Oryzias latipes: one gene and its partner. The protein of the gene in region 1 interacts with the protein of each later gene in a biochemical or structural test. Links are inferred from orthologs where the notes say so. Each region holds a gene or a part of one and is shown in the gene's direction. Other genes may lie near its edges.

Region 1 (4,512 bases):
TGTACTTAGCCTGGTGTAATGTAATAAAACAATGAATAATAAAACGTCGTTAAATTTAGCACAACCATGATATGCAGTAGGGATGCAACGTTTCACGTTCCCCATGATACAGTCGAATGTTTTTACACACAGTATGATCTTAGAATGCAATGCACGGCCAAAAGATAGAAATAGAATGAGAACAAATATTTCATCAAAGCATGCGACTTCGTACCATAAAAATGTCTATAAGTCTTTTGCCAGTTTTGTGTTGTGGGTGTGGGTCATTTGGCCTTCCAATCCTAATTACTGACATGTTTTAAAACTAAATACACATTTTTTAATTTAAATTTTAAACTAATTACACTTACATTACAATGAAGACACCATAACACTGAGACTTCACTTGCTCTCGTGTTCACATAGTTGTCAACTGTATCATTATTCTGTGGCCAATATTCTGTGGTCTCCAGCTCAGAGGCCTTGTGGTGGAGGGGTTGTGGTGGAGGTTGTGAGTTCAAATCCACCGCTGAGTCAGATCAAAGACTTTGAAAATGGGACCCAATAACTTCCTGCTCAACACCCAGCATGAAGCGGTTGAATTGGAGGGTTAAACTACCAAATTGTCCTTGATAACATTGTTCCGGAGAACGAATTTCCCCCACCTTGGTGCATGGCAGCTAATGGGACTTTAAAGAAACAGCTGATTTACCACAACCCTTACACTCCTCTTACACCTCCCCACCACAAACACACAACAAAACGATGAAGACGTGGGAGCTCAAAGCCTTCTTCTTCAATGATGTTCTGGTGTATGGCAGCATCATTGGGAAGGTTATCCGTTTAGATGAGCAGCTTCCCCATCTGCATCAGTCAGAAAGAGAAAATGAGCTGTCACAGTTAACCTGAATCTTAACTAAACCTAAGAGCAACAGTTCAATTCCATGTAAACAATACTACTAGCTCTCAGCCAGAAAGGCCAAGTGGGCCCCATATGGTTTAAAAGTGAGCAGAAAATGTGGGCAATTGTCTGCAGTTTCTGTGGTGGCCTCACATTGGCTTAAGTGGGCATTCGGTGAACTGGTCCACTTTTTCTGCCCACTTTTAAACATATTTTGCCCACTTGGCCTTTCTGGCTGGAATCGGTGCTTGTTATTGTCATTGCTTGAAAAATATGTCATTCTATTTTTTAAAAATGTTTTAAACATCACATCATCATGCATTTTTTCATATTGTTAATATTAGTACTCGGTAGTTAGCAATGGCAGTATATTGTGTTTCCATTCTCTTAAAATGGCAAAAAACAATCAAACAAACACACATTTTAATAAATAAAATACTTTATAAATATTTTATTTTGTCAGGCAAATACTAAAGGTCGGCATTTGATTACAAAAAAGAAGATGTTTGGCCATAAAATTAGCAAATAACAAAAACTTTCAAACAAACTAAAAATACTCAACAAAAAGTATCTTATTTTGAAATTTTATGACGTCAAAATCGTGTTTCCGCTTTTGCCCGCGCCAGTAAACATGGCGGACGGCTAACGTTGCATTCATACACATTTAGCCCTAAAGTGTTGGGTTTTCTTTCGGTTGTGGCTTTATTTTTTTGCTTTAGGTGTCACGGAGAGCGTGACAAACCCATCGTGGTCCACCAGGTTTTCCTGAAGTAAAGGTAGAGGCGGCGTTGACTAATTTGTTGCAGTTGATGCTAAAACGGGCGTAGCCACAAGTGCAAGCTAACGCGCTAAGCTAGCGAATCTCTGCTGGAGTCCAAGCTTTTTGCTTCGATATGCTTTGCCAGCAGCCTGAATTCCTTCTTTGTTTTACCAAATTATGTAAAAATAAGAGCCAAGAGTTCCGTGTTTACCTGCTAGCTCAACTATTATAAAGAGAAACAGTTAAACTTCCTTCAAATATTAATTTAGCTTTGTGGGATCATAAAACTTACCATCAGTTTGGTATAAAACAGTAACATCAAGGCACTCTAACCACATTTTAGAATATGATTGTAGTTTTTGTTTGTTTACCTCATTACATCGTTTATTCTGCACTGGTTAGGTTAAACGAGACTGACCGCAACAATGGGGCGACGTTCAACCTCCTCCACCAAGAGTGGGAAGTTCATGAATCCCACCGACCAGGCCAGTAAGTACCGACCCGTGCGAGCAGTGATGATCAGATCCAGTCAACATGACTCATTTGTGTTTGTGTTACCTACCTTACAGGGAAAGAGGCGAGGAAAAGGGAGTTAAAAAAGGTACTTGGACTGTTAAGCTGAATATTTGTTGGCTTTTTTTATTCATTCATTTTTTTTTTCTAAACAATTTTATTCTGGATTGCATTTCTTTGCTTTTTCTTTGCACAGAACAAGAAGCAGAGGATGATGGTAAGAGCAGCAGTGTTGAAAATGAAGGATCCCAGACAGATCATCAGAGATATGGAGAAGCTAGATGAGATGGGTAAGCAGCTCCTATTTGCTTTTTTCACTTTATTTTACATCTTTAACCTCCTAGAACCCAAGTTAATCTTTGAGCTGACTCTCTACACACATAGTCATGTAGCCTCAGTTAAGCAGAATTAACTACTGCGGTATTATAACCCATAAATTGATGTCCATGCATGTGGATAAGCTTTTGAGTCACTCTCCATCCTAATTTAAAATAACATTTTGATTCTTTTTCTTGTCTGCAGAGTTTAACCCAGTTCAACAGCCTCTGCTGAATGAGAAAGTACTGAGGGACAAGAGGAAGAAGCTGCGTGAGACATTTGAGCGCATCATCCATTTGTACGAGAGGGAGAACCCGGAAACTTACAAGGAGCTGCGCAAACTGGAACTGGACTACGAGACCAAGCGAGGCCAGCTGGCTCTTTATTTTGATTCAGTGAAGGTAGCTTTAGTTCTTCCTGATCCTTTTTCCTTCCTTTGTTCACTTAAAGATCCTTTATTCTTTTCTTAAAGTATTAATTACCTTTTGAAAAATTTTAAATTAGGTTTTACCTCCAAGTCACACACACAGTTTGGTTTATTTCAAGTCTTTTTGGCTTTTTTTTTTTTTTTTTTTTTTTTTTTTTCTAGTTGCAGGTGTTAATATTTGCATTTTTTCCTCCAGAATGCCGAGTCAGTGGAGGTCGACAGTATTCCTTTACCTGACATGCCCCACGCTCCTTCAAATATTCACATCCAAGACATCCCATTGCCAGGGGCGCAGCCTCCCTCCATTCTGAAGAAGACCCCTTTTGGGTTGGTTTTGTTCAAGTTTCTCTTCCTGCATTCTGTGGGATGTAATATGTTATTTATTGTTCTCATTTTGTTTTTCATAGCAAGCCACTTCTTTCTTCATCCACTGGACCGGTGATGGCATCAGTACCTGGTGTCCCGCGTTTACCTCCAGGAAAGAAGCCACCAGGGCCCCCACCTGGACCCCCACCTCCTCAGGTCCTGGCTCTCTATGGAATTCCTTCTCGGAGAGCTTACAGCACAAAAGCCGGTAACATTCAGACACATCTATGTCAGTGTGTGTGTGTTTTTTTTAAATCTCCTGCTCCTCTTACCTTTTCTTTTTCTCTGCAAAGAATCCTCCATTCCTGGTTTAGATAGAGACGTGGAAATGGAAAGGGATCAGGACAGTGGCAGTGAGAGCGACAGAGATGACCGGGACGATGACAGCGACTCTGAGGAAGACAGCGAGGAAGAGCGAGAAGGAGGGGACAACGAGCGGCAAGATGACGACAAAAAGAGGGAGGAGAACAAAGACAGAGGTAAAAAAAAAGGAAACAAAGATGCTGATCAGCATCCCTGAGTGCATTTTTTTTAATATAATGTCTTGTGTTTTTTTCTCCGGCTCGTATTCCCGGCAGGTCGGAGTGTGCGTTTTGCAGACATGCCAGCGGAAGGAGATGGGAAGAAAAAGAAGAAAAGAGTTGTGAAAAAGAGCAAAGCCATCACTCCTCTGCAGGCCATGATGTTGAGGATGGCAGGTGAGGACGAGGGCCACATCCACATCTCTACAGCATTACAGCTGCCTTTTATTCTCAATATATTTAAATATTTATATCTATTCGCTGCTTTTCTCTTCTCAGGTCAGTCGATTCCTGAGGAGGATGAAGACGAAGAAGAAGAGGAAGAATATACGGATGGATCTGACAGCTCTGACACAGAGGAGAGGGGATCAAAGGGAGAAAAGCAGCCTCATTCTTTGGCTGGTCAGAATCTGCCTCCTACTGCCGGAAATGTGGCACAGCAAGGTCCTCCACCCATGCAAGGTCCTCCAATGACTGGACCTCCACCTCTCGGCCCACCTCCAGCTCCTCCAATGAGGCCCCCTGGTCCTCCTTCTGGTCCCCCACCAGGCCCTCCGCCAGGTTTGTTCAGCTCTGAACCCACGTTTGCATCATTTTTGCCCGATATTAAAACGGAAACTGTTCTTTCAGGCGCTCCTCCCTTCCTGAGGCCTCCTGGGATGCCAGGGGGGATGAGAGGTCCGATGCCTCGTCTTTTGCCTCCCGGTCCTCCACCAGGTCGGCCTCC
Region 2 (4,520 bases), on another chromosome or scaffold:
TGAAACAAATAACCTTTTTATTAATTTCTTAGGAAAGCTATCAACGATCCGGCATACTTTCCAGCTTCCACAAGAATTCATCTTTGGATTATATTAACTCCAAATCCCAATTTTAGCTGCAGTATATTATTAAACGACAGATGCAGACATTATTTAAGGTCACACTGAACCTGCATTTTCTTTAACAGCTTTAAAACACTTGTTTAAATAATTAGTCATTGGATTAAGACAGCAAAACAGCAACATATTATTGTTCTTTCTGGTGGCTTACTGCTGCAGGAGGCTCAAATGTTCAAAACAAACAAAGATCTAAATGAGAAGACACAGGCTTTTTCATGCTAACTCTTCTATTTATTCTACTTTGTCACGAGTCAAATGATAAATTAAAGGATTTTCCTCTGATTCTTTTGTCTTATAAACTTAGGGGGTTCTCTCCATTCAGATTTACTCTCTAAAGGCAAAATAATGGATCACAGATCCACAGTGTTTTCTTCTGACACAAGGGGAGTGAATTCTGACTTCCTTTAAGTTCAAAACTAGGAATAACCACAAAGCAGGAACAGATCAGAGAGAAACTGATTAGATCAGAACAGAGAAGAGCCAGAGGTGGCAGAGCTTGTAGCTGCGAGGGGGAAAAAAGGAGGCAGAAGGGAGCGGCGTGGGGCAGCAAGCAGACGGAGCGGCGTGGGGCAGCAAGCAGACGGAGCAGGAGCAGACCAAAAAGAGAAACAAATGATTCTGTCTCCATGTTTTTACTCTGATTGGTTTGTGTGTCTTCCTTTTGTAGACGGTGGGGGATCTTTCTGTTAATCCCTCCAAAAACTCTGAACTCAGAAGTAAATGGGTTAACCATAACAACTATCTAATATCTATAATCAGTTAAATTCAGAAGTGTTATTATCAATCTGGATTATCAATGACTCAATGACAAGCATGTCAGCATTTTGATGAGTTGGGGCAGCTTTAGAGGAGATCTGTGTGCCTGAAGCCCTAGAAGTGTCGACTTTACTGAATTCTAATAAACAATCATCCATCTATGAAATAGTAGACAATGTTAATGATTATTCTTTAAAATGTCTGAAAGTTGTTGAGAGATTTAAACTGCATTTAGGATTTATAGAATAAATGTAACTGTGATCTTAATTGCTATTAAATACCATTATATTCTGTGATATATAAAACATCCATTTCTGCACAAGGATATAAATTGGATGTTTCGGCTTGAAAAACAATAAACAAGCTTACTACCAATTAATTAAAAATGTCACAAAATATGTAACATTTGTTCGCAATATGTTTTAAGCTAATTTAAAGCACTAACAGTAAATGTTGTCGTTTTTCCATAAATTGTAGAAATAATATATTTTATAACCTGCGAAATGTTAGAATTCTAGTTGAAATTAGATTACTTCTCGGTGGTGGACGCGAAACTATTCAACCTGGTCAGGTTTCGTTCAACAAGAGGGCAAAATTGCATAAAAGCCAAAGGACAAACTAATATGTTTAGGTTTTATTCGACAAAAAAAGATAATCTCACCAAGGTTCACGCGCAAACTCCTCCATCTTTCGTGTCGTCTTTTAAGCGCAGTGACGTCATAATCAGGCGCCGGCTCATCGTTCGTTGTGGTGGTCTGTTGATTTTAACGATTGAAATAGTCGTTTTTAAGAACAGGTACAGACTTTCCCCCCTCTTTGTTATTTATATAAACGCTTACTTGGTTAATTGAGTTTCTTATTATAGTTAGGAACTTCAAAATGACGGGATTTTGATTTATTTTAACCGCAGCTGTGAGTTGAGTTCAGAAAAACGGGCCTGGATCATGTTTTCGTGCAGATTATTTTAGCTCTTGAAATATTGTTTCTTTGCTAATTATCGATATTTTAAAACTGACTGAGCTACACTAACCTCAATATTTAAAAGACAAAAAAAACTTAACGTTTGAGAGTTTTAATCAATCGCTCCATAGTAGAACCAGAACCATCGAAATAACTTTCAGAAAAGTCCTGTTTCATTTTTTGAGCTGCTTTGAAATTGAGACAGTTTTGTGTGTGTGTGTGTGCGCGCGCGTGCGTGCGTGTTTAAATTTCGCACCTTATCATAAAATTTTCCTCCAGAGAATTTGTTTAGAAACAGTGAAGAATGGATTTGTTTGCTTCAAATACCTTATCTATACAGGTGCTCTGAATGTACACATCTGTACATCTGGATTTGGTCATAGAACATGTTTAATTTCAGAATTTGGGGTAATGGGTGTCTCTTATGTTGTTGCTTTTATGGGTTAGTTTGAAACGAAACAGTTCTGCCAAATTAAAGCCAAATCAGTTATTTAATTAATTGATTTTTCTATAAAAGTAATATTTTGTATTTGTCAGGTTAAATAAAACATTTTCTTTGCTTTTAAAGCCAGAAGTTGAATTTTATTGATTTAAAGTTCAAGTTTTGCTTTATTTAAATCACTAGTTAGGCAAAAATGTTTGTGAACGAACATAATTAGTTTTGGAATGGAACCTTTATTTTTTTTTAAAAAGAATTTATATTTAATCAAAATTTCTGCAATCCTAACTCCTGTACACAATCGGTGAATTCGTATGTAATCAACTGAAGAATTTGTCAGCATTTGCATCATCATTTAATCCTAACTCCTCTGTGCTTGCAGATGCCTCTACCTCCAGCCCTGCTGGCCCGTTTGGCCAAGAGAGGAATAGTTAAACCTTCAGATCAAGGTAGTATTCTACATCCTCACAGAGCTTACTTTCTGCTTTTTTTCTGAGCTTAAAACGACTTTTTCTCCTCAACAAAACAGAGATAGAGGAGGAGATCATCGCTGAAGATTATGATGACAACAATGTTGACTATGAAGCCACTCGGTTAGAAAATCTTCCCCCAAATTGGTACAAAGTGTTTGACTCGACGTGGTACGTAGAAACGAAGTCGATCAGCTGCGCTGCTGTGTTTGAGTATGATCACTGCGTGTCATTGATCTACCATTGAAATGAAAAGCAATTGCAGCTAAAGTTATTTGTTTTCTTCATTTCCCAGCGGTCTTCCTTATTACTGGAACATTGAGTCCGATCTGGTTTCCTGGCTTTCCCCAAATGATCCGTCAGCGGTTATAATGAAAGCTGCCAAAAAAGCAAAAGGTAAGAATTTGGTAAAGTAGATGACTTTGCTCTGCTTTCATTAAAAATTGTTTTACAGAGTTCATAAAATGTCCAAAATATTGGATTTTTACTTTTTGACAAGGGTATGAGGAAACAAAAAAAGAACATGAAGAGCATGAATGTGTAATAAACTCTCATATAGCTAAAGTTTATCCATCTTTATATTCAAACTTTGTTTGTCATGCTACTCAGATAATGATTGTTTTCTAAAACCTCAAAGATGTGGATTTCCTTTTGATTTTTATATTATTTTTATATTATATATATTATATTTACCGTAAATTCCGGGTTATAAAGCGCACCCGATCACAAGCCGCACCCACCTATTTTAACGTGCTTAAATATTTTTGTACATACACAAGCTGCATCAGTATACAAGCCGCTGCCTCAACAAAGCGCATCCTGACTACCAGAGTGTGCATGGCTCATTACCACACTGTGGGCAGGTACTGGCCTTGTCTCAAGCTCATGTATCTAATTACACCCACATCTGAAACGGCATGGACCTCTATTCTGTTCACAAGTTCCTCAGTTATGGGTTTTTTTATTTTTTTTAACTTATTGACAAACTAGGTATCATACATAAAATTACAAACAGTAACCATATAATCAACATTACATCCCTCAGTTATGATGAGGAAATTTATATCCGCGATCCCCCATTTCCCATGAGTCTTAGGGGCTAAAGGCGGGGCCAACGCCCGGCTCGCCACACTGTTGTTCGTGTTTAAGAATGAGCAAGGAGCAGCAGTGCATGGAGGGGTGAAAAGGAACAGCTCTCCTTCCACTTGTGTCGCGGCAGCGTTATGGTACTAACGGGGCTGGTTAAAAAACATCAGTAAAATAGCGCGCGCCTCAGCGCGGCGCGTTCGTCAGAAGCTTCCTCTCACAACAAACACTTGTTGCTCCGCGGACGCCTCTGCGCTCCGCGCTCGCCAAGCAGGCTCCTTGTCTCCCCTTCCTATCCGAAAAGCTCACACGGCGGCTGTGAGCTTTTCAATGCAAAATTCCGCTCAGTCAGAAACCGTAAAAACGACCAAATGGATTTGTGTTTCCAGTCGTGTCCCGACAAAATAAAGGCTGATGTTATTCACACATATTTACGTGCAGCCAGCCGAGTCACTATGACTCAGAGGTAAATACACTTCTGAGCATGCGCTGTTCTCTCCGTCACGCAGCTGACCGGCATTTCCATTTACTGATGGGGGATTTTTTCACGCTGCTTTTAACGATTGCTTTTAACTTGAAAGCTTCATCATATTGTAGCGGCGATCAAGTGCACGTTGGGTCTAATGGCACCAAAGGATTCTGGGATGCGGCCGGGCATGCGTGTTTCTTTTTGTTGAACCATGACTGAA

Evidence for each region.
Region 2: the proteins of wbp11 (region 1) and pqbp1 form a complex in vitro, tested with the Homo sapiens proteins (2 studies listed by BioGRID and IntAct, with this or other methods). The link is inferred for Oryzias latipes from reciprocal best matches to the Homo sapiens genes WBP11 and PQBP1.

The regions. Positions count from the first base shown.
Region 1 is NC_019866.2:20,478,029-20,482,540, forward strand, and holds the start of wbp11 (WW domain-binding protein 11), read left to right. Parts: upstream 1-1,489; 5' UTR 1,490-1,656; intron 1,657-2,042; 5' UTR 2,043-2,065; coding exon 2,066-2,129; intron 2,130-2,209; coding exon 2,210-2,241; intron 2,242-2,349; coding exon 2,350-2,443; intron 2,444-2,675; coding exon 2,676-2,872; intron 2,873-3,094; coding exon 3,095-3,225; intron 3,226-3,305; coding exon 3,306-3,472; intron 3,473-3,557; coding exon 3,558-3,743; intron 3,744-3,842; coding exon 3,843-3,962; intron 3,963-4,064; coding exon 4,065-4,346; intron 4,347-4,415; coding exon 4,416-4,512. UniProt on the Homo sapiens protein: Activates pre-mRNA splicing. May inhibit PP1 phosphatase activity.
Region 2 is NC_019865.2:21,319,425-21,323,944, reverse strand, and holds the start of pqbp1 (polyglutamine-binding protein 1), read left to right. Parts: upstream 1-1,583; 5' UTR 1,584-1,672; intron 1,673-2,657; coding exon 2,658-2,724; intron 2,725-2,804; coding exon 2,805-2,916; intron 2,917-3,040; coding exon 3,041-3,141; intron 3,142-4,520. Other genes in the region: timm17b (mitochondrial import inner membrane translocase subunit Tim17-B), read right to left, coding at 1,538-1,563. UniProt on the Homo sapiens protein: Intrinsically disordered protein that acts as a scaffold, and which is involved in different processes, such as pre-mRNA splicing, transcription regulation, innate immunity and neuron development.